Drosophila melanogaster: one gene and its partners. The protein of the gene in region 2 interacts with the protein of the main gene of each other region in a pairwise test. Each region holds a gene or a part of one and is shown on either strand. Other genes may lie near its edges.

Evidence for each region. The genes of interacting proteins can lie anywhere in the genome.
Region 1: the proteins of bard (region 2) and zormin interact in a two-hybrid assay, tested with the Drosophila melanogaster proteins (one large-scale study listed by BioGRID).
Region 3: the proteins of bard (region 2) and GILT3 interact in a two-hybrid assay, tested with the Drosophila melanogaster proteins (one large-scale study listed by BioGRID).

What each region holds. Positions count from the first base shown.
Region 1 is NT_037436.4:2,147,642-2,154,431, reverse strand, and holds the start of zormin (zormin), read left to right. Parts: upstream 1-2,731; 5' UTR 2,732-2,822; intron 2,823-4,150; 5' UTR 4,151-4,342; coding exon 4,343-4,687; intron 4,688-6,790. Other genes in the region: CG15822 (uncharacterized protein), read left to right, coding at 25-627.
Region 2 is NT_033777.3:18,078,353-18,084,229, reverse strand, and holds bard (bard), read right to left. Parts: upstream 3,183-5,877; 5' UTR 3,110-3,182; coding exon 1,763-3,109; 3' UTR 1,647-1,762; downstream 1-1,646.
Region 3 is NT_033777.3:23,674,657-23,679,980, reverse strand, and holds GILT3 (Gamma-interferon-inducible lysosomal thiol reductase 3), read right to left. Parts: upstream 2,624-5,324; 5' UTR 2,572-2,623; coding exon 2,344-2,571; intron 2,126-2,343; coding exon 1,817-2,125; intron 1,744-1,816; coding exon 1,630-1,743; 3' UTR 1,560-1,629; downstream 1-1,559. Other genes in the region: GILT2 (Gamma-interferon-inducible lysosomal thiol reductase 2), read right to left, coding at 141-245, 304-597, 723-887, 954-1,013.

The DNA.
Region 1 (6,790 bases), on a different chromosome or scaffold from region 2:
ATGGTACTAATCTCGTCGCTTTAGGATTGGCAATCGCGCTCCACCGAGGACGAATCCTTCGCCACTGCCTCCGAAGGCAACTTTACGCCGAACTCGCATTCCTCATCCTTTCAAACAGCCTCAGGACGCACTAGCTCCTACATAGGATCGGCCAAGAACTCCTTCGATGAGGCGGACGACTCAACTTTAAGCACATTCGAAATACCCGAACTACCACCTTCGCCAGTCAATATGTCCTTTGATAGCTCCGAAATGAGCTACTTCTCCGACCGTCAGCAGAGGATGAAAAGTGAAGATCAGGACAGTGTGGCGGGCATGGCAGAGCTGCATAGTCAGAGTGTAACGCCCACTCCGGACGAGGAGCAGCAACACCTGCTTCTGCCACTACCATTGCCGCAGGCCATCGAATCGGACAGCGAGGTGGAAGGATTCAATTTGGCCACTGGCATTACGACGGAGCTGGCGCCCAGGATGTCCAACGCCCACACGCCGGAGGTGAGCTACACATCGGCCAATAACACCGCTCCGGCTTCAACTAACCCCAACGAATCGAAACCGCCGCCTTCTTGGCGACGCAGCAAATACTACGAGAACATAACGAAACAGACGATCAAGGGATTTCTCTGAGAGATCTGGACAAGCTGTCCCAGTTGAAAGATGAACACAAAACGATTTCCCGCCCAATTAACCAGCGCCATTTGCTTCTCTGCCGATCCTCGACATTCTTGCCATTAATTAGTTGGCATACTATTTTTGCTGTTTTCCCAAAACCAATTTTAGCCCATGAGCTAAAAGTTTTTGTCTTTTTTATTTTGTTTGCCATTTTACTTTGCATGATTGTTCACTGTTTTCTACCAAAATTTATTAGTTCGATTGAACTTTAGCTTAAAAGATATACTAAAATGCCTGCGCAAAAGGTTTTTAAATATTTTATGTTTGAAAAATGTCTTTTGCTTATACTTTCTCTGCTTTAAATATAGTAGTAGAAATATTTATTTAGTTAGTTCAAATTAAGTCTAAGGCTTGCAAAAATTAGAGAATTCCCAAATGGTTAGAAAATATATTTAAAGTAAGAATTTAAATTCACTTACGGCCAGTCGAAATTTTTGCCATTAATCATATGTTTAATATTTATTTATAACTATTTCTCCCACACAGTCACAGTCACAAAACATAGTGCAATTAATATCGAACATGTTTTACCCCAAAAATAAAGCTAATCATTTATAATTTTTTTCAATACCTCCTAACTTTTCAGGTATTTAGTTTTAAATTTTATGCTTAAGCAAGTAAGTAACTCGTAACTGCAAAATTTGAATGTAATCTCGAAAATCCATGAAAACATTGCATAACTTTGGGCTGCATCCGTGAAAAGTCATTGCCATCATCTGCACTTAACCCTTGAGTGCTCTTTTGGACTTTTCCACCCTAAATAATTTTTTTCAATTTCCCTCTGTGGGTGGCCCTTTCCCCCAAACATTTAACAAGTGGTCCTCAAGTGATTTCAATTATCTGAAATGTGAACTGGCAGTGGGTGCAGCGGGGAAATGGGGTTAAGAGGGGTTGGCTGCTTTTGTGAGCTTCGTCAAGTGGCTCATTAATCTCAATTAAAAAACATATAAATAAATCGCTCTGAGTGTGGTGAGTGAGTGAAAAGAGTTTATACTTAACGAGCTGATCATCCAGAAAGGCGAACCAAATATCTATGAGATTCTTTTCATGCCATTCGACCAGATTTTCTGACGTGCCGGCGCTGAAAGCATAATTCGATAAGTTCGAATCGTTGATAGCGAAAAATAATAACACACATCTGCAGCGCATTGATTGCCGCAACTGCTGTTGCACGCAAGAAGCGTCGGATGTTGCACGTTGAATATTGCACGAAATCCGGAGCCAAAGCCAAAGCTGCAAGACACGCATTTTGGGTGAAAAATACTTCATAAATTGGGGTATAGAGCATCATGGGTGGTGAGGGGATTTAAATGCGGGCGGTCAGTCAGTTTGCCTTGCATTAAGACACGATATCGTCTGGTTTCCTCCGCTGCTCTGGTGTTGTTATTTTGATCTTCCACTCTTCACCATGTTATTAAAGTACAAAAGCTGCACTTGAATATGTTGTGGTTTAAGGTACCTCGTCTTATATGGGGTGTATAAGACCAACGAGGAAAAGGTCTAGCCAAGGGGAAAAATCATCCACACATAAGATGTTAAGTTAGATGAATATTCAAAAGTAAATGCGAATAAATAAAGTGAGGGCATAAGAGGGTAGCAACAGTTCGCTTAAAGTTACCCTTTATCATCAGAATTACAGGGTACAAGCTCGCTTCATATCGCTTTACCTTCTCTTCGTATTGTAATTGCTGAAAAGCCGGGCGCAGGGCATTAAAAATTGAAATCATGAATTAACGACGCCGCGAATGCCAAGAGCACTTGTTTATTTATGTCGTCTCCCCTGAAGCCCCGCATCTTGCCTCTTTCTCTAGCGTCTAGCGTCTCCAGCCCTCTCTTTCACACTCTCTCATTTTCAAAATACAAGCCGGCTTTTCAAAACTGAGCTTAGCCAGTGTCAAGAGATCAAAACAAGAGAACCGCTACCTGCATGAATGAATTGAGCGAATCGGTTAAGTTTCATGGGCTGCACGCTCTTTATCTCTTTCTGATCGGCTGTCTCCCGTAGAATCTGCTCAGTCTTCGGTCTCCGGTCTTCAGTCTTCCGATCATTTAGTCAGTCTTGTTCGAAGTTCGCGGCGTTCGGTTGTTCGGCTGTTGGGAAAGCGGCGCGCGCGTTTTGATTTTCCACATCTCCACCGCTCGAATATAATGTGCGAATAAAAACATATCTATGTAAATTAAGTTAGGCAGAAAACGAGGAAGAAAACAATAAATTTGGCACTTCAAAAAAAAAGCGAAATGAAACGTAAATTAATCAGCCATAATTTACCTAGAACATTTTTGACATTCAAAAATGCTTGGCGCTAGTTTTTTTTGCGTTCACTCGTCTAAAGATGAAATCAACAATCTGTGCTAAATTTATTGTTGTTGTCGAATATTCAGTTTTGTGACGACCCTCAGAAAGCACAAACAAAATGTTTAACAAATAGAAAACGACACAGAATGCGCGAAAAAAATATTTTTCAAAAATATTCGGTGACCTGATGCATTGAAAGCTTATTTGTTTGAGTCATGTGCATATTTCAATATACTACAACAGTCCACGCCCCAGAAAATTTCAATCAACAATTTTCCATTTTTTTTTCTTTTAAATTTTTTGGACAACAACATATGGAGGCAAAGCATTTCCTCGATTGCGCTACTGTAAACTTTTATAAAGGGAACTTGTTCTTCCCAATTTTTGGTTTGCTGCTTATTTTTAGACAGCGCAAAGTACAATTAAAATAGTTTACATTACGCCAGCAACGGCGGCGACTATTAAAAATTGAGAGAAACACCAAAAATTACCTAATGGAGGCAGCTGGCTGCACACGAGCATACGCGGCGTATGCGTAATGTATTCAAAAATATCGAAAAATCCATGAAAAATGACTGACTGGCGACGACTTCTGCCAATGCAATTGGCACATGTTACAGATTTGACGAACATCCGCGCGCTTTATCTATTAGCTATAGTAGCCTGTATCTGTAGCATCGCAGTATCTGAGTATCTGGGCTAGAACAACAGTTTAGCTTCGTGGCAGAAATCGCCGCAAAAAATTACTCAATAGTTTGTTGTTTTAAAAATAAACGCGAATCGAGCATTGTCTTTGAGTTTTGGCGGGGCGGGGGGCTACCGAGGTTCTACAACGAGACTAGCACACGCATCAAAGGCAATTTTCTCAGGCTCAATATGCAAAAAGTACACACGATTCTCTCGGCTATATAGCCGTATATATAGACACTACGGAATAATAAACAGACACTAGAGCGACAGGGAGAGCGCGAGTATGAAGTCATAGTCATCGCGGCGGGCAAAAAGAATTCTCCGTTTCGAAAATCTACCGATTCGCGGAGGTTCTCAGACGATCGCCGGCGTTGATAGCGCTCGCAACGAAACGAAGGAACCGCCGAATCGAATCCCCTGGCTATAACTAATCCCAATAAATTAAATCCGAACGCGAGTGACTCAATCTAATAGTTCCACTTTTTCGAGCAGAGTTCAAAATGCAAAACACGAGACACAAGCAGGGGAAGTAAGCCAAAATACGAGAAAAACTAAACGACAGAGATTATAAAACGCCCACGCAAAACACACCAAACTACAAGCACTCACTCAATCCTCGAAAGTTAGTCAAAAAAAAAGAAAACAGAGAGAAGTAGAGACGAGCAGATAGAAAGAAAAGCAACCATGGAACGCCGCCAAGCCCTAGACTCATCGATGTCTTCGCTCTACTCGGTCGCCTCCTCCTCGAATCCCAATCCCCGCCAGCCGCACACCGGCCACCAACTTCAGACGCAGCAATCCCAGCAATCTCAGCAGTCCCAGCTAGACGCCTTCAATTATTCAGCAACAATGTCATCATCGTCGCCGACTCCAAGTCAGGCCATGTCCACAGCCATGTCCACGGGCACGGGCACCGGCACCGGCACCACCCACACCACACCACCATCCTCCTCCTCCCTGAGAGCCACCACCATTGGCACCGTTGTCGTCCGATGCGGACCCATCCAGCTGGTGATAGCGCTCCTACAAGTGAGTTGTACTCTTGTACCCCGCAAACAATAAAAATAGTAAACTAAAAAACGAAACGAATCCAAACAAAAAACACACAGCAAAAAGGCCAAGAAATGGGAAACAAACATGAAGAAACATTTATCTAGATACGGGAGAAGTGTTCGGAGAAAGCTCTTGAAGTGCGCGGAAATTTATGCGGAAGGCGATCTGGGAGGACTTCAAAAGAGATTTGGGACGGGGCATTGGGAGATCTTGAATAAATCATAAATCTAGAAGTGCAGTCAGGTTTCGAAAACACGGGGAAACATCTAGGATAAGCTGTGGTCATTGAAACATCTTATGAAAAAAGTTGCATTCGACTCAGTTTTATGTGAAGCTATAAAAATCCATAACAACCAATTAAGCCAGTCTAAATATATTAACCTTTTTTTTCAATATAAATGAGCTTATCATTTGAATGACGACATAATCTTTGTTCATTATTAATGACAGTGCAATTATATATTTACATTTTTTTCATTTTGCGTAGTGGGGCAAAAACAGTCTGAGAGATGTAAAGCAAAGAAAATAGTTCAATAGATACATTATCTCAGATTGTTATCAAATCATTTTTCAATCAATTTATCACTATAAAACAACGTTCGACTATTATTAAATGGCCCAGCCTCCAACCAAGCAAATGTTCACTACCAATCGGTCGACATTAATTGATAAATTTCTATAATTATCCCATAGCTAGCCCCTTCGGATCTGAGGCAAAACTATGTGACTTTAGCACTGAAAAATTCATGAACTTCTAATGCCCAAAACTGGCTTACAATTTTCGATTGTTTAAACCGGCTTCCAGCGATTTCCGCGCCAATTAGCACTCGAACAACGAAAGCAAAAGTTGTTGATAGCGGTTATAAATATTTGAAAAACGGCAGCAGAAAAACAAACGCCACAAAAGGTTCAAGGTTGTCTGACATCAGAGCAAAGACACAAAAGCCAACTAAACGTGACAAAAAGAAATGTATCTGCCAGATACTTTCGACAATTAGGCGCAGCTGCTACCTGTCTGGGTCCATTTCGAGCTGGCAGAATCAGTTTCTTCAGAGAGAAACTTTGTTTGGGTCTTCTCCGCAGATTTGCCCCCTTTTCCAACCCCTCCAAATCGCTCGAACTTGAAGATGCGACTTGAACTTGAGATTGAGAAACATTTCTGATGAAGCGCTACAAGTTTTATGCCCCGAAACAAAAAACATTCAATAATTATGGGCATCGGTGAATGGTTTATGGGCTTTTGCGGCAAGGGGCAAGGGGACTGTGCCCCTTTTTGCACCACCTTTTCTGTTCATTCAACCAACGGATCATTGAAATTTCGGTGTGCCACTTTGTGCCATTTTTTTTTTTTTTTTGCTGGCCATCAGAATAACTATTTTTGCTTCATATGCCATTCGAGACTCACGGCTCCATGTGTTAAACATTTGATTTGATTTACAACTTTTTCCCCCCTCCACTTTTGATTCTGAAAATTATGCAAAAACATTTTACTGACGAGCCTTTCAACACGTTTCTGTTGTATACGTGTACTCGTGTTTCCATGAATTGAAAACTCGCGACCCCAAAAATATACAGATTTCTTTAAATTTCCGCTGGCCTGCTTGGAAACAGTATTGAAATTCAAAAACGAAACTAAATAATTGCTTACCTGTCGTTGTTTTCGTTATTCTCGAACTGGTCCCAAAAATGCTGTTGAAAATAAACAAGAGCGATTTCTCTCCCCGGTTCTCGCAGGTAAACAAATTAGCAACGGAACAGAGCCAAAAAAAAAGCTGAAATAAGAATAACAAAAGTGTACAAATAAATACACAATATTCCACAATAAAAGCCAACAGATGTGCAACAAACACACACAAAATGAAACAAATGTATGAGCTAAAAAATGTTCGATGAGCTCAGCTCCTTATTATTATTGTTATAAATTCCACGTGGGCGGTGGGAGATTTTTTTCTAGGGGAAGAAAGGCGGCGGAAGTTCTTTAAACTTTGTGCTTCAGCATAAGATTAAGGAAACAATAAGTTGGCAGAACCCCCTTCGTCCCGCGGCTCGTAGCTTAAAACTATGCAAATATGTCAAAAG
Region 2 (5,877 bases):
ATCAAAAGCAAGCCGCATCGTCTTATCGCCGTATTTATGGTCTGAGCGATCGAACTTATCCGACACAGTACACCACTTAAGGGCCTCTGGGGATTTTTTGGACCTTTTATGTTTAATTTAATTATGGTAAAATCAGCTGGTGCTAGGCTGCCTCATTTCGATTAATTTGATTCGATTCGATTTCATTAACAAGCTTGCTCTGCAAATCCACAAAGTTGTGGCATCGAACCAATTTTGGGGCTTAAAAGTCAAGAAATCCTCGTGTTCGCGTTCCAATTTCACCTACAAATTCGTTACACTTGGGACAGGTTGTAGATGACCCTTTGATTGCCATCACCATGACGAATTGTGTGCCCTAGTGTCATGTTAAATAAAATTGATAGAGAAATTAGGCAAAATGCTTAAGTTGGGTTGGAGTGCGAAGATGTAGCGGAGCGGCCTTTTAATTGGGTCGCATTAGTTTTGGACCTTAAGTGGTGCATATGTCAAAGAAATGCCCCTGCAATTAGTCAATTAATGAAAAACCAATAGATATGCGGCTAACACAAGTCGATAGCCAAAAAAAAGGTCTATCCCCCCCAAAAAAAAAAAAAACGTTTGGAAATGGCAACTACGCCAGTTGGTCGGTCAGTTGGTCAGTCGATCTCTGGTCTCCTCCGTTGGCCATAAATTAATAGTCCATTATTTCTAAATTTTGTCCACTTCAAACTGTCGTCGCCGAGTCGCCCAGAGCCAACTGACTGCCCTCGTTTGCATTTTAATCTCTTGATGGGGCGATGGGGGCCACAAATTAGTCCGGACCCCACTTTGTGTTGACTTGCCAGTGCGGCCAATAATTTAGGCCGACAGACGCGATCGGCTCACGTAATGTTGGAAAACGAAAGCAAAACTATGCTCTTTTTCCCAAAAGCCATATTTTTTTTCGAAGAGAAAAGTTATGTAAATCATTCAGCCAGGCGCACATTTTTTCAAAATTGCTTAATTTCCTTCACGTGCAAGTACGCATGGGATAGTTATCGTTTATAGTAGATATGTTATGGGATATTATGTTATAATCCAGAAGGCTAGACTACCCTGTGATTATCCTTTCCGATCGGAAACCTCATAAAACAAAGTTTACATATTCATTATGGAATAACCAAAATATTAACAATTACACACAAATTATAGTTAAACATCTATAATCTAGCTTATTTGAAAGCAGTTGTATTGCGCCAACCCTGAAGTAAGAGAGCCAAATCCCCAATGCCATGCCAAACTTCACTTCTTTTGGCCAGTTGGCCAATGGTCAGGAGTTTCGGTGATCGGGGAACTGAGCCGGACAGTCGGCAAAGAGCTTTGGGCACTTTGCGAACTCATTTTCCGACTCAATCAAATCAAATAATTTATGCCTCGCGAAATTAACTGGCCATGTGAGTGGAGGTCATGCCACATGTGAGGAGAGTCCAAGAAGCCATGACGGCAACTTGGGGCCCAAAGCACAGTTAAATCTTTTCGCTGGCCATAAAGTGTGTTGATTTTTCCATTTGCCAGACCCTAAAGCGCTGCAATGCGAAATAAATAAATGTTTGCCGTTGAAGGAGAGACCTCTTGGAAAATTGCCTGCAATCGGGGAGTGTTTGAGAATGAAAATGTGCGTTGCTTTTGATTTAGCCAGTGCGTCTTATTTATATACAATAGAAAATATAAAAAATTACAAAATTCATGAAAAAAAATATTTGTTTAGGAGTATATACAATTGGTAAAATTGTTGAGCTGTTATTCACTCAAAATCAAACTCGAAACCATCCTCCTGATATTCGTATTCGCTGCTGTCACAGGTGACCTGAACATATTTGTTGCTCTGCCAGTGATAATATTCCTCGGGTGTGAAGTTGCCCCACATCATGTCGCTGAACACCTGCAGTGGTCTGGGATTCCTTTCCTGATTGCGAATATTCACGAGCTTAGTAAGTTTCTCCCAGTTGCTGTGGTAGCCGTTCAGAGCCAAGTGCTCCAGATTGACGCACTCGGCGACCAGTTCCAGGAGCTGAGTCTCCCGCACAATCTCCCAGCCACTGAAGCTGAGCACCTCCATTTGTTGGCAGGGCATGTGCTGGCGATCCAGGAAGAAATCATTGTGGCACCAATTCTCGCATATCACCTTCCTCAGCTTGGGCAGTTCGAGGAGCAAACTTTGCTGCCACCGAGCTGGCAATTGAACCACTTCGTTGTTCAGGGCAATTCGGGTGATCCTTTCGCTTTTGGCCACCACAATCTGCTGGAAGATGGTCTCCTGATCTGCGTTCAATTGCCGCGAATCATCGAATCGCACGGATAGTTTCTGTAACTTGGGCAACTGCAGCACCTCCGATAGCATGCATTCTACGGTGCTCAAGTTGATTTTTAGCACTTCCAGATTGGGCAATTTGATGTCTGTGAGTCTCACACAACTGTCGAACTGATCGGTAATGTCAAGGACTCTCAAATTGGTCATTGTCAGACAGATATCCTGAATCCAGCGGCTATCCAATGGCACCGAATGGTACAAGGAGTTGAATACCAGCTCCTCCAACTTCTTGAAGCCACGCATATATAAGCCAGATAGATTCATGCAGGTCATTAGGCGCTTGAGATTGGGCAACATTACCGTCAAGTCGCGGATGTCCTCATCGACCACTGTGTTGGGATTGCCCGCCAATATGCAAGTGTCCACCTTGGGAAACTTGGTGATATTGATATCGCACAGGTGTGTGATATAGTCGTAGAATTCAGAAAAGGAACCAACGCCGTCGTGAACGTGCAGATCCGTGAAGCTATCAGCCATGTGTTCCATAAAGAAGACATAGTCATCGATGTCCAGGAGTCCAAGGAATGGTGTATTTGGACCGATGATCAGGTGCAGTCGCCTCTGCCAGAACTTGAGAATCTGTGGCATGAACTGTGGATAGGCCCTAGCCATGCGTACCTGATCGATCAGATTGTCGATCTCTTCGAAAATCTGCTCGAAAAATATAATGTGCAGGTTGTCGATGTAGTTCGGTTCAATTTCCTCCATCGGTGAACAGGTATTATTTTGCTGGGCAACCAGAGCGTCCTTGTAGAATGCGGTATTGTGCATTTGCGACATTGTATGTATTGTCTGTCAAATGTGATGACTGCTGTGTGTTGCTTCCTCGAAGGCTGCTGTTGGTTGAATGTGCTCTTGTTTTGATGAATCTAAGTTTTTATGCAAATTTAGGTAGTGCATTTAGTGAGGGAGTGAATCAGGTAGTAGTGGGGAAGGATTACCCAGTGTCCTTATCTCTTTTGCAGGCTAATCCTTTGGCAACAGCTGTGCCAGCTTTCAGTAGTAGTTACCTGTAGTTACCTGATCTGTAGGATCGCGCCATGATCGCGCCGGTCCTCATAAATTGCGCCGTCGTATACTGCCTGCAATTTGTAAGCCTGCGCTGTTGTTGTTGCTGCAGAAAAAAAACCCTATCTGTACAGTTATCGCTAGAGAGACTCACTAGTTTGCATATTACACGAACCCAGACGTGTTCCCAGCCAACTTCTCTAGCAACTGCCCTGTTCCAGTCCAGAATCTTGGCCGGATGCGTTGGACAAAACGTGGTCAGCATTCGGCTTTGCCTGGCTTGGCTTCTAGGAAATGCTAACAACTCTCGCAGAGGAATCGTAAACGAAGAACAGTCCCACCAAATGGAATAGAATAGAATGGAATGGATTCTGTGCGAGCTTCAACGATCTAATAATCAAAGCCATGTGTTTTTGTCTGGCAGCTTAGCGAGCGATTAGAGGAATCACAATCACAGAAGACACTGAAAAAGAAACTGCACAGTTTATTATCCGAAGAAATACATTTTCTTTTAAAGATACAGTGTTAGAATTATCTTTATATTAAGGGAGAAACGTAGCTGATGAAAACTGTCGAAGCGATTAAAAGCGAATCCTTTTCACTAAAGTATGTCCAAGGAATATATATGTTAAAAGTAAATGTTATAAGATCACAAACCTTTGTTAATAATATATTTAACATATAATAAATTGAAAAAATCATATATAGGAAAGTAAAATATAAAAATATCAAAAATTGAGGTACATTCTTAGTTTGATTTCCTTTAAAATCTAGTAAAATTTTGCTAGGATAGACTTAAGTACAATTATTAAATAATTTTTGTGAGTGTTGAAGAAGGTTCACACCGTTTCCCGGACAAACTTGTACAGTTGCCCTGCGTTTCCCATTGATAATTCTTGGATACCCTCTGTTGTCAATTGTCATTGGGTTGGCTTTTGTCCAGGGACTAATGGCATTGTTGTCAGCCTTGTGTGCGTCTATGGCCTGTCAAAGCATAAAACTGGGCAACAGACAATGCTGACAATCTTGAGCGGGGAGCCAACTTCTTAATGTAGATATAATGCACATTTCTATTTTGGCCCGGTTGGTGAAAATATTTTCATTTGTTCATATTTTTCAACAACTTTGTTGGCTACACCTCAAATCTGATGTTTATGAATTCTCAGCGACTCTGTTTTCTTCTTTTGGGAAAACGTTGCTTCACACGAGATTTGGAAAACGGGTTGGGGTATATCTCTGATGCAAATGCACTTGTCTCTGGTATTCGTTTTTTTCGGCTATAATATACTTTTTTTTTTTTTTTTGGTTGGTCTCTGTTTGACTGTCTTATCTGAGATCAGTGTCGATCAAGGCAGCAGACGAATTGGGAAACATGACATACCGAAGTATGTGTATGTATGTGTATATGTATGAGGGACTCGAGACTGTTTTAATAATTTTGACGTAATCACATCACAACAATCTACCGTGGAGGCTGTTGGCTTTTGACTTTTCCTGACTCCCAAGTGGACAGTTCTTTTTAGCCTCGATCTCTGCCTGATTTGTTCATTTAAATGAATTACAATATTTTATCTTTACACAGAGATCGTTGGAGCTTAAAACGCTGTTCACATACATATCTCCTTTGCATTATTTGCAGGTAAATAAAAATGAAAAAGTTGAGAACTTTCCAAGCATCATCTGCCTGAAATTCCTATAGCCATAAAAACCGGGACGGCACAAAAGGATCAGGCGGCGGCTGAAATACAGCTGCCACTGTTAAATCAGGTAAGCCCTTTTGGCCAAATTACTTCACACCTCCGTACTGACAAGCCAACACGATCGGTAGCCGTTGCCGCTGCCAGGAAAAAAAAAAAAACGTAAGTGCACGTTTTTTAATTCATTTGTTCTAAAACTTAATCAGCCAGTACGAAAAGAGGAAGACTGCGTTTTTTGGGCAGAGACAAGAAGTCGTGATTGCGCAACTCATAACTCACACACAAGCCAACTTGAACTTGGCTGGCTTTTTGTATTATATATATATATATATTTTTTTTTTAGCTTCTTCTTCGCCTTCTGCTGCTTACATTGTTTAATTAAAAACGAGGCTGTTGTTGCCGCTGCGGCTGCTGTTGCTTTTGCAACACGTACCACGATGATGACAACAACTGCTGCAGCAGCGCAACTGCAACACCAGCAGCAGTAGCGGCAGCAACATCAAGACACACTCTTCAGCTGAAGGGGCAGCACTTCAAGTGGCTCAAAAGGACGACACGTTTTGGCTTCTGTGTAGAGCCGTTGTTAGCTGCGGCTAGCAGTTTGCAGTTGCAGTTGCAGTTGCAGTTGCTGTTTGCAGCTTGCTGCTGCCATGGTGAAGTGGAAAGCAGTAGCTGCAACGGCAGCCAGAAGAGGCGCGCCACTTGCCACAATTACCGGGACGGGACTTTCAGCGAAACTCCGTAGTCGTCTGTCTGCGGCGGCTGCTTAATTTTCAGACAGCCAAGCGATTATATTGCTCCAGAAATATACGAAAATGATGGTTGAGATACTCTTTCCAAGAG
Region 3 (5,324 bases), 5.6 Mb from region 2:
ATAGATGGCGCCACTGCTGGGCGGGAAAACTAAAAATTCGAACTATTCATTTTTCAGAACCTGATTTTACGATTTAATTACAAAGAAAATGCAAAAAATATTTTTTAATAAAAAAATGTATTGTTAAATGAACACAATATTTATTGACAATTATTTAGCTGCTTATTGAACTTTTCCTTATACTTGGCGCAAAAAATGGCATCAAAATGATCAGTTAAGTTTGCTGATAGATCCGCGTTATAAACCTTAAAATCACAAAGTTTTATTTTAGATTTCATGAATTTCTTTCGCATTTAAACTCACGTTATCCAGAGCTACGGCTGGCACTCCCTGAAATGAGACCTTGGCCGTTTCCTTGCCGTACTTCCTCAGAATGTCGTTCACCTGTCGCGTTTTCTTGCAATTTTTGACATCGCCCACGTCGATTTGATAGTGGTCAGCGCACTTTTCCAGCCTGTTCTTCTTACCCCTCATCATGCAGGCGATCAGCTTGAGGGATTGGGCAATGTCATGGTGCTCCAGTATGCAGGCGTGCCACGCGTTCAATTCGCACTCCATCACTCCGTGCTGGCACTCCACATTTCCGTCATCGTTCGTCTGGAGGGGATTAAGCGAAGTTTAAGTGCGGATTAACGCTGATTGACACTCTAAAACTTCAAATTGAGCTATACTATGTACTTGTACTATAACTACTAGTTTAAGCTACGAAAAATGAAACCTACCCTGGCATTTCCATAAGGAACCAGCGTAAGATCAGTGAATGGAAGTCGATCCTGACGGACCATCGAGGGATTGAGCTGCGTGGTCACGAACTCCATGCAGTAGGGACACAATGCTTCGTAGTACAGGGTGATCGCCAGTCGGTCAGCTTGCGGTCCGCGCAAACGCTGCAAAGTCACGATCAATGGGAGCGTCGCAATTCGGGATTCAGTCCGATCAACTGGGTCACTTACCCTTGGCGTGGCCACGCCCACCCATCCCAGCAGCAGACACACAAAGACAGCCGCCCTCATGGCAAATTCAGTTTAATCCCGAGCTGATCTTGAAATATTCGGCCGCTCAACGCCAGCGAACGCTCGACACTGAAATAATTCCGGGACTTGTAATGCGCAGCGTTGTCACTGCGTTTCGTCAAATTCGAAGCGGCCAGTGGCGTGGTTAGAAAATGCTCAAGGGGGGCTCAAAAATCATATAAGTTAAAAAAAAAATAATTATTTGTATTGCAATAGTAGGGTGACTTTTCGCTTGTTTTTTATAATTTTTCTGTAATATATCCGCTTTTGAAAAAATTAATATAAATATATAGATAAAGGGTGTGACTAGCCAACCAATTCGACGCCCCTGCTGTCAACCAGCATTTTCCCCTTTACATTTATGCGCTGACTACGGAAAACTTACTGAGCAGCGGGGTTTTAATCTTATTTTTAGACCACCAGACAGCTGTTTCTGATTAGAATCTGTATACAAAAACATGACTGATAAGCTGATATGTATATACTATACACATGTAAATTTTTATTGGCCCCAAGTGAGTCAGCGAGTAAGCAAACACTCCAGTTGGTTATAATTATTGTTTATTGGTCTTGGAACATTGAAACAGTTAAATTACTCAGTACATTACATAAAAGTTTACAAAATTGCGGAACAAGTGGGCAGTTTGATGTTGAACTTTTTCAGATACTGCCGACAGAAGTGTCTTTCGAAGTTGTTGCGAATGCTTCTCTGGTCGTAAGGATCAAAGTCCTGCGGATCAGAGGGTAATGTTAAGTTAAGTCTGGTATTTGATCATGTAAGCCTGGTTGGGTTGGTTACTCACATTCTCGAACACAATGGTGGGCACAAAGGAGATGCCCAGTTTAAGGGTTTCCTTGCCGTAGGGCGCCAGTATTTCTGCCGTGGTTCGGGATGCCTTACACTCCCTGGCCTTGCTGACGTCCACACCCATGCTCCTCGAGCACGGGCCCAGCTCATTCGAATAGGAGCGCAGCATGCAGTAGATCAGATTGAAGGCCTTCCGAATGTCCAGGGTCTCAATAATGCAGGCATGGAGTGCATTTAGTTCGCACTCATCCACGCCATGCTGACAAAATACTTGGCTCTCGCCAGTGGATGTGTTGTTGTAGAACTGCACGTAACAAATTCTGGTTTAAAACCTCAAAAAACATGAACTATTTCACGATCTACAAACAAATTGTGTGTGTGTATTTCAGTTTATTGCTGTTTTTTTTTTAATGTAAATACAAATGGTTTTCGAAATGAACTGCTAATGAATTCGAAATGAGTACTAAAGAAATGACTATAGTATGCATAAGAATTCTATCATTTTGATCTTAGCTGACTCACCCCCGCCTTGCCAAATGGATATAGCTTTAGATCGGTGACCGACCACCAGTCGTTGTCCTGCAGAGCATCGTACAATCTGCGCCGGATGAAGCTCATGCTGTCCGGGCACAGGGCCTCGTAGTGAATGGCCACCAGGAGCCGGGACTCATCCGGGGACTGGCCATTTCCGGGCGTGGGCCAAACGAGCAGCAGACACAGGGTAAACAGTAGCCCAAATATTTTATTCATTGTCCGCGTTCGTTTTTCGCTCTTGGCAGCCTCACAAACCAAACACAACTGCTCTTTTCAACTTGCCCATTTCACTTGCGCCGCTCCATGGAAACAATCACGCACATCTGTGACATTCACACAAATACACGCTCGCCTCCTATATATATATATATATACGTGTATGTATATATATATATATATTATATATTTGTTCTTTCTCTCCCATTTCTCCCGCCATCGAACGAACAATTGCTCTGCGCAAATATCGTAGCATCAACTGGCCATATATCTCTAATCTCTGGTCTCTAATCAGAGAGAACTGGCATACGGCTGCGGCTTAACCCATTGAACTCTTGGACTTCAGATAAGGCAGGAGCTAATAATGTTTATTAAAATGTTTGCATATATGTATGTACATATTTATATGTTAATAGTATGTTTTTAAGATTTAAGAGCTTTGTCCAGAGCGAATGCAAATAGGTATTATTTCTCTTCAAGCGAAACAAATACCTAAAATAAATGAATGCTGGTTAAAACAAGTTAAACAGCAGAACTGAAAATTACTTAATAAATTTACTTATCGTTTGCAGCGTAAATAAAATAACTTAATAGCATGCAAAGTCAAGTGCAGCGAGTTATCAAATGGTGGTACTAATTAAATAATGCCAGCAATTGAACTAATTGAATTAAAATGCTCAGCGAGTAAATTTAGCTATTAATTAATAATTGATTATTGCCAGATAATTCTATTAAAGGCATGACTACGCAACTAATATAAGGTATAATACCTATAGCATGTAGAAACTAAAACCTGAATTAAGTCATACGGAATAACTTTAGAACCGGACCGAAAAATGGGTTAATGGCCAAAACGGTGCGATTGCCACATTTTCGCTGGCCAGTGGCAATCATAATGAGTGTTGTGGGCTTATCAACAATTTAAGCGTAACAAGTTCAGTGCACCGCCATGTCGCCTGGTTGCTAATTGACAGACCGGCAATGGCTCCATTTGGCTAGCGTGCCCCTTGGAGGCCGGTCCAAAACGGTGTTTTTGCTTTGTATATTATTATGTAGTCTTTTTTTTTGTTTTGTTTTTTATTTTGGCCCGCAAACCAGTTGTTTGTGGCGCATATATAGATGTAACTGTCGCACAAGTTGCCGGCCGAATGCCATTGACCATCGCCACCAAGCGGCCTAAACGTGATCGCAAACGTGGCCGTTGAGCAATTTCAATTTCTTACTAATTTTCTTTGGCTCTTAATTGGCCAGGAAAATGTTTGGGATTGTTGGCCAGCACTTTTATGGGCACGTCATCGCATCGCATCGCATCGCGGAGCGTGTTTTTCATGGTCAAGGTTTGCACGCAAGAATGCCTCCGGCTAAGTGCACGGCAAAAAAAAAAAAAAAAAAAAAAAAAATGGAAAGGGATCCAACTAGATGTGGAGCCAATCCGAGTTACATCACTTTTCATATTTTCCCATGCATATGTAATTTCTATCAACATGGTCGGTTTTACATGAATATTCAGTGTATCCTTTCTACCAACCATGTTGCATGCAATTTGGTGAAAGATCGATCGTCAAGTGATTGCTAGCAAATATTAATTGGCTGCATATCGCTGAATTTTATTATATTTTTTTTATAATATTTTATTATATATTAATGCAATTTTTTAGATATTAACATGTGCATTGGGATATTGATAAACTATTGTAAACTATTTAACTTGGTTCTGAGCTACATTCCACTATTTTAGCACTGAACCTAACTAACTTTTTAACTAACACTAGCATTTTTTTTTCGGTGCATCTCTTCTTATTGTTTAATGTGCAGGTGCAAATGCAACCACTGAACATCGCGGAGCTGCAACTTCCCATCAAAGACCGCTCTGCTGAAAGAGAGATGAGAAAAGCGACAGTATTTATGACGCGTCTCGCAGATTTCCGCACAATTAGTTGGCCCGAGTTTCCCGATCGTCGGCGTGTTGCAGCTGCAGTTAACCCAAATCGCTTCTTGGCCAACTGGGCTGGCCAGTCCATGGATCACAGAGACTGGACGCCAACGCTTTTGTGGCCCAGAGGCAATAGCACGAGTAACGTTTATCGACGGCCCCTCGATCTGAATCCAAATCGGAGTTTGAGTTGGAGTTGCAGTCATAGTCTGAAATTGCCGTCTTAGTTCGTTCCAGTTTCTGGAGTCGTTTGTTGTGTTATTTTTTCGCTTCTTCTAATTTGCATTTTTATAGATTCGCCAGTTTTTCGCCGTTGTTTCGTGGTTTTGATGGCGATATAAAAGGGGTATTATTAGTCTAGGCAAAAGTGGGCAGAACAATGATTATGGGTTTATTATAGGTTCTGCCAGGCGAACCTTGTGAAATTGAAGCAACAGATTTCATAGTTCAGCTAACCAAATTTTAAAATGAAAGTTTCTTTCAAATAAAGAAAAACCTTTGTATAAGAACTTTTTTCACATCAACGTAGCTTCAATAGTTTTTTATAACTACCAAGTGTATTTAAGCTTCGACTCATATTTTTTACTGCGTTTTTTAGTCTTCAAAGTTTTGTGGCATTGCCAGTTCTTGTTGCAACATTTTAACCGCAAAACCAATGAAGCCGTGCCAGTCGTATTTTATTGTTGTCTTTTTTTTTTTGTTGATCTTGTTTAGTTTGCCGAAAACGCATTGGGCCGCAAACTTAACCCTTGAGGAAACTTTGGTCAACTACTAATAATAAGTGCTTACAAAGAGCCCATAAATATTCTCGTCGTTAATT